2 linked regions of the Caenorhabditis elegans genome follow. The protein of the gene in region 2 purifies or fractionates together with the protein of the main gene of each other region. This does not show direct contact. Each region holds a gene or a part of one and is shown on either strand. Other genes may lie near its edges.

Region 1 (3,756 bases), on a different chromosome or scaffold from region 2:
TCAGTGGCTCATCACACAAAATATCTTGATCTACTTTCGAAAAGCACAATGCTTGACGATACGACTGAAAATTATCCACAGCAAATTGTCATTTATCAGCAAGACATTGAAGAATTCTCCGACGCAGTTGTACTGATTTTGAGAAAAATATCTGCCAATTTGAAGAAAGTGAATCTAGAAGATCAGATAACTGATTTAGATGAACGAGGTCTCACTTTACAGACCGGAAATGTGGATGAACTTAAAGAAAGTAGGTTTGATGAGCGATTAAAAATAACCCTCATTAAAAAATATTATTTCAGTGCATGTTCGACTTCAAGAAGAGCTTATATCAATTGAGGATATGGAATTGGCGTTAAATGAAGAAATTGATAATTTGGAAACTGAGGAGAAAAAAATAGATCAGGAATTGGCGGGAGTCGGGAAGAATGTAGATTCAGATGGGCTCCGACAAGAGCTTGAAGAACGTCAAAAAAGGCTTGAAGATGAAGCTCCAGCTCGTTCACATGAAATGCAACAGTTAGAAGCAAATGTAGCAAGTATAAGAAATGAACTTCATTCAATTCCAGGATACTCTCAAGTGAGTCGATATGGTTCTATATTAGTTTTACCAATTATAAATTTATTCCAGCACAAAATGCTTCGCGAACGACTGGAAGCTGTTGAGAAACGTACTGCTGCAAAATCACTTGACATGAGCTTGAGGAAGACTGAAATTGACTACGAAGATATTAAAACAGAGGTGTGGATTTTTTCCTAATCGAGTTAACAATATTTTACTTAATTTCAGAGCATTCGACTTCAGGAAGAATACAATAACATGCTTTTGACCAATCCATTTCAAAGATTCACCTGATTTATTAATTTTTCACTAAATTTATTTATTAAATTTACATTGAATATGCTGAACTGTTCCTGAAACAGCAAAAAAATTATTGGAAAATACTAATTAAAAAATTGAAAAATCTTTGCCTACAGTAGCTTTAAGGAACACGACAAACTTTATCTGAACATGTCTCGTCACGACTACCGTACCTTGAAATTTTCCCGCCCGATTTTCGCAATTTTCTTGCTGATGAATTTCTTTGTTTCTTTCCTGATTTTCTCGATTTTTAATCGTGTTTTTGTTTTTAGAATTTTTGGAAATTTGAGGAGAAGATATATATCAAGTATGAAGCACCCTTTCCGCAAGGTCGCCGTAGTTCCTTTTTTGTTTCCGTCGTTTTACCCTTTTCGGCGATCTTTTTGATTGATAACGTTTAAGTAAGGCTAGTTTTAAATTGAGTTTTCTCAATTTTTCTTCAATTATAACATTTCCATCATTTTTGCAGTCAAATAATATTGTAATTCTATTTAAAATATCGTTTGATTATATTTTGAGAACCTTTATTGATTGACTGTTAAATATAACGAATATATTCAACAGCTTAAACAAACAAATAAAATAAGTTCTATCTGCGCGAAAAGCTACAAAGGATACGAAGAAAAGTCAAGAAATCAATTCAAAAATTATGCCTAATTTTACATAGCCTTTTTTTTTGCTTGATAACGATATATTCACAACATTTTCTGGCTAAAGAAAGGTGGAAACGTTTTGTTGTTCTTCCAAGTTGTAGCTCGGGGGGCCGAAAAAAGTAGGCGCGATGCGGTCGACCGCGACGCAACTCATTTCTCTGCTTCTCTTTATTTCAGTAATCTTTGTTTCGTGGCGTGGTCTCGAGAAATAAATAGACGCAGGGTGTGGTGAGAAAATTGTCCGCAACCACCGCCCGGCAGCTAGATATTGAACCAATATCTCACGATAAACTTTTACCCTTTGCATACATGCTAAAATGAGAATTAAGAATACAGTTTTTATAGTAATCTGAACTTTTCGTTTTTTAAATGCCTGATAAGATTAGTTACTCGGGCTTCTGCCACGTAACATTCGTCTCTGCGTATCTCATCTTTGAACAAGCAATTTTCGTTGGCCGAGGTTTTGCGCTGCGGTCAAAACTAGGCCTTTGACGAGTTACACAAGTTGAATCCTAAACATTTTCAATCTGATCATGATAGAAACTTCTCGAATAAGCCTTTTGTCTTTTTTTAATCTCATTTTTGAAAAAAGGATATTGAAGTATGCGTTTCAATTATATTTCGTTTTACAGAACTACTCAAAATGTCGTCAGTTTCGTCCGCCGAGCCAACTGCTCAACAAAATTTCAATCCAAGCTGGTATGTGTTTGAATCTTAAAAAATAATTATTATTTAAAATTAAATGGAGTTTTTTCCAAGTAATCTAAGATATTTTTCATTTTTAACCTCTAGTTTTGAATCATAGAGCAAATGATTTTTAAATGCGTTCTTTTCAACTAAGAAGTTTATCGCTCGTATTTTTTTGTTAAAAAGGCTCTACTCGATCGTGTTTGTAGCAATATTAAAAGAAAAATAAAATAAATAATGCCGAAAACCAAAATAAAACCCAAATTCTCAAACTTGTACCTTTTTTACCACAAATTTGCTGACTGCAGCTGAAAAAATGAATAATATGAATTCCAGAATATAAAAGTTAGCAAAATCAATTAGAAATCCAAGCCACAAGTTCTTTCTTAAAATTGCGTTAAAGTCATTTCAGGATGCGTCCAAATGCTGCTAACCGTGGTGGCTCAATTTCTTCGGGAAACAATCGTTCCTCTGGATTTGGTGGGGGTGGATTTGACGATGGCGGCGATGTGAGTTTCAGAATCTACGGGAAAAAACCAGCACGTTCCACAAATATATTCTTAGCACATCTCATAATCTAGAAATTTAGAAAAAAAAGGAAAATAATTTATTTACAATTTTGTGTTTATTGGGTCATGGTCCCCGTGGTACCCGGTTTTAATATTATAATCGTCTGTCACAACATTACATCAAAAACTAAATAATTATGAATTTAGATTTTAGAATATACCTCTCAAAGTCGGGCTATCACTGACTCCCTCCCTCCATGACAAAAAACTCTTATTTTTAAAAAAAACTGAAAATGTGTTCAATTAGGAAATCTCCTCTTCGGCAATCGCTGCTGCAGCCGCCGCGGTCCTCTCTTCGCCAGTGGTTTCGGAATTCTCGTACACGCGCGAACGTCTTCTCGAGCTGGCTCCAACCGGATCGATTATGCCTGATGCGTTGCGCGATCAGCTATTTTTCAACGAGAAGAACCTGCCGCTCGTCTCGAACACGCCTCTCAGTGAACATGAACAGGTAGGGATACCACAAGAGTTTTAGAATTAGAAATAATGAAATTTATCCCACTATTGTCTGACGATTTCCAATTTTGCATGGTACTTTTTTGATAATTGACAGATTTGTTTAGGATCTATGTTTAGGATCTATATTTTATTATTCGTGTGCACATTGTATTCTAGAATTTGATGTGAACTTCTATTTTATCCAGTTTCACTGACTCTTTCGTCTAAACAAGAAAAGTATAGTGTGTCCTTGGAGGGAGGAAGGCATAGCGAGACTTTATGAGGCTCTTTGCTGTTCGTATCCCACCATTTCACTTTCCTAATGATCGGAGTAATTTGTGTTATCGAATAAGTTTATTTGTTAAACACTTTTAAGTTGAAAATGCTTAGTTTTTTCGTTTCATGTTTATGTTCCGTGGTAGAGTAGTTATTCTCTAATAAAATTTCTAACAAATCCTATTCATGAAAATTATATATTTCATTTTCAGAAACTGCAACACAACATAAACTCTTCGAAAGCAATGTCTCTTTTATCGCACGCTGATCG
Region 2 (3,756 bases):
TTATCATTTGTTTTTCTCACAGCCATCACCAATGGTCTAGTCTTGCATCTTGCCATTTTTCTAATTTGTATTTTTTTAAATGATTTTCTTTTTATAGCATTTTTCCATAAACACATAAAGTCGTACATTTATTGAAAGTATTGCAATATTTGATTAGTCAAAAAGAAATGTAAAGTATTTAAGTGAAGAATAATTTGATATTATTCAATTGAGAAAAATATTGTTTTTTTTGGTTGTAATCATGTTCTAGACATTTAAGCCTTCTTGGAAGCAGTGATGGTGAGAACTCCGCGGGTGGCGAGGTGGGATTTGACGGTGGAAACATCAACGTCATCTGGAAGTTTGTAGGCACGGTTGATTTCACGGGCAACGGTTCCATGGTTGTCACTGCGGGTCTGGAAAGTTGAGAGTTATACAATTAATCTTCTATTTATAAGAATTATCTATCTAGTTCAGCATATTTTTCTTTAAACAAATCTGTGCTGCTTAAGTTGAAAAAGAAGATACGGCATCACGAGCTACTGTAAATCATTCTGTAAATCATTGTCCGCGTGGCGAGACCCAAAATATGGTTCATATTGTTGTCTTTTAACTACTACGTCATATGTTCAGTGGAAATTTTTGAAGGACGATATTACTGTATTTAGTTTTATAATTTGATATTTTGGAACAAATATTCAATGCTACCATAGGTATCATTCTTTTGTTAGATTTTATATAATTCAGAAAATGGGTAAGTTTCAGTGAGTTGAAGTCGAAAAAGGAGCCTCCTAATTTTATAAATACCAATTATAACTCTTACCTCGTGACGGCAGTGGATGAGAAGCTCTTGTCCGGAAACCTTGACCTCGATTTCCTTTGGAGTGAAGAATTGAACGTCAAGTCCGACCTCGAACTTTTCCTTGGTGTTGTGGACCTGAAATTTAAGAATATTCAGTCAGAATTTACACGAGTTAACATTACGACTGTCAGAGTACTTTTCCACACTGTAAACTACTGTACTCTTCGTCTCTAGGCGAAGAGTACTGTATTTTACAGTGTGTCTATATGATTACAGAACATGCTGATTTTTCAAGTGTAATTTGAAACTATGCTTATATGAAAAACTCATAATCTATTCTAGTTATTCATTCCAGTATACAAATGCAATTTATCGAAAATCCAGATAGAAGCTATCAAAATAAATATAGTTTTCTTTAATTTTGATACAGCTTCTATTGCGATCATAGTAAGTTTTCTAAGGTATTTCTGAACATATTACAACATCTTTTCACTGTATTGATAAATTTGATGATTTACTATATATTTGTGAACTTATTAATATCAAAAATTACGTTTCCTATGAAGTAGTGTTAAGGTAGGGGTACTGTAGCGTCATTCGAAAATTGTTGTTTTATTTTTTCAAGAGTAGGTAGTCTAAGTTACTAAAGTGTCGTGGTTGGTTTATATTCCAAATTTAACCAAAAAGAAAAAATGAGCGTTTTTATTAAATTTTGGCTCATAAAAATTGCAGAGCCTTCTATTAAAGAGAAAAAATATCCCGAACCTTGACAACTCCGTCGTTGTGTTGAAGTGGCCAATCCCAGGTGGAAGCGGCGTCAGCGGTCACCTCGATAGCGGACATTTTCTCTAGAAAATTAAAAGTGTGAAAATATATTTATCGGGTGGATGAATAAAATGTGAATCGGAAGAAAATGTAATGTCAAAGAGCGAAAACATATGCGCAGGTTGGAGATGCACTCTAGGGTGGAGAACATTACAATGCACTATCGTAAAATGCTCTGTGAGCTTTGAAGCTTTTGCGAGTTGGAGAAGAAGCTCAGAAAGTGGAGAGTGAAAGGAATTGGACTGTAGGATAAGGGGGCGGAGGAAAAATGGATTTGAAGAAGAAAAAAGGTACGAGGAGAAGAAAAGAAACAATGATTGTTTATATTGACGGATAGGAGCTCCGAGCTCTGAGGATGCGCAAGAAGGGACGAGAGAAAGAAGGAGAGATATTTGTAAACTGTACTATTTGTAGGCTTCAAGAAATCTTCAATTTGGAAATAGAAATGTAGGGGAAGTTTTTGGTTTTTGATCTGATGATCATGAACTTTTGCATTTATTTTTCCAAACATATCCGGTTAATTTCAATTATCAATTTAACTGACCAATTTAATGACCAAAATTTATTGGTTAGTTTCAAGCTCCTCATGAGCTGAACGTTTTTGACAAAAATTGAACCATATGAATTTAGTTTTTAGACATTTTTGGAAAACTTCGCAGCTCACCAAAACCTACATTGAAACTTTTTCGAAAATCAAAAAATGATTGGAGGGGTTTATCATGATTTTTGGCAATTCTATTAATATAATTATAATCAGAAAACTCCCAACTGGCGCTTATCCGCCTCGAATTCAAAATTTTTGTTATTACCAGTACTTGGAATTAGTTTCCAAACTTGGTACATTTCAGAGGTCCTGGGTTTGTTTTAAGCTTACTTCAAAAATTTTTTAAAATAAACAATTGTTGAAAATAATTGGCATAGTCAGGTACGACATAGATGGTAAGTAGTTATTATCTTTCAGAAAATCAATACTTTTCAAATAGCCATTTAAATTTTAATAATTCTCTTGAAAATGTCAAGATCCAATGTGATTTTCGATCTGAAAAAACTGATTTTCGATCTGAAAAAAAAATGTTTCAAATTGAAATCAGCATTGTTCCTAATGTTCATTAATCACAATAAGCTTTCAGCCTGATTCTCTCTATTTACTTTGCTCATAGATCGGGTTGTAATATTATGCGTTTGTGAAGTTTTTCGGGATTCAATGCACAAAACTTTTGGAAAATTACCGTGTGTAATCAAGTTTGCAGTAAAATGTCTGAAAATCAAATTCGGATCTTTAGTCGGGTACTGCTTTTCCAATTATCCAAAAATTCAAATTGCCACGTGTCCTATTGATCTCGAGGTTTCCCCAGTGACTTCGCCCCCGTCAAACACTTTTAACAGTTCAAATAAACACAAGCACATTTCTATGCCAAGCTTTTCTTTCTCCCTCTCTCTCGGTCAAGTGGCTTCTTAGAAACTTCTCGAAAAGTGCTCGGAGCGTCGCTCAGCGATCAGTGTGTTTATTCATCCTCGTAAAATAGTTATTTCGAAACTAGTGACTGTCGTCGTCGTATACATTCAATTAATACACGTAACCGAAAATGAGAGAAAAGCAGAGGAATATGGGATTGGGGAGGGAAAAGTGACAAAAAAAGCATGATGAACAAGAACTAAAAATAAATACTCATAACAAAGAAACAAAGAGAAATTAGTTTAAATATCACAGAATTATTGCTCCTTCTGAATTGTTTACAACTCGTCCTTCTTCTGGAACGACTTCACACCGTGCTTGGTCATGAACTTCTTGAGATCTTCCAAATCACGATTTCCAGAATATTTGATTGGTTCACTCTGAAAATTAGTTTATTTAAAATGGGCCTATCAAGGATCCGAAGTCTCACTGCGATCATACCGTAACCTACCGTACTCCAAACGTTGGTTACGGTATAGGCGGGATATCATGAGATTGGAATTTATTATTACCGGCATGTGAAAAGTTTCAATTTTGCTCCAAAAATAAGGTACTCGGTCGGGGTGGTAAACGAACGATTTTCTTAAATGCAAAAAAGTTTGCCCATTTAAAGATTACTGTATTTGCCAAATACTCATATTTTCGGGATTTTTTCACCTGTTTGTTTGAAAACTTATTTCAGATACTTCCAATT

The links.
Region 1: the proteins of hsp-12.2 (region 2) and gyf-1 fractionate together in Caenorhabditis elegans (co-fractionation; one large-scale study listed by BioGRID). This does not show direct contact.

Annotation. Positions count from the first base shown.
Region 1 is NC_003280.10:6,682,091-6,685,846, forward strand, and holds the start of gyf-1 (GYF domain-containing protein gyf-1), read left to right. Parts: upstream 1-2,147; 5' UTR 2,148-2,158; coding exon 2,159-2,214; intron 2,215-2,605; coding exon 2,606-2,711; intron 2,712-3,018; coding exon 3,019-3,222; intron 3,223-3,442; exon of another isoform or gene 3,443-3,591; intron 3,592-3,697; coding exon 3,698-3,756. Other genes in the region: ift-74 (Intraflagellar transport protein 74 homolog), read left to right, coding at 5-250, 303-580, 632-742, 791-856.
Region 2 is NC_003281.10:8,135,989-8,139,744, reverse strand, and holds hsp-12.2 (Heat shock protein Hsp-12.2), read right to left. Parts: upstream 1,669-3,756; 5' UTR 1,625-1,668; coding exon 1,547-1,624; intron 917-1,546; coding exon 803-916; intron 396-802; coding exon 255-395; 3' UTR 114-254; downstream 1-113. Other genes in the region: C14B9.2 (putative protein disulfide-isomerase A4), read right to left, coding at 3,341-3,442.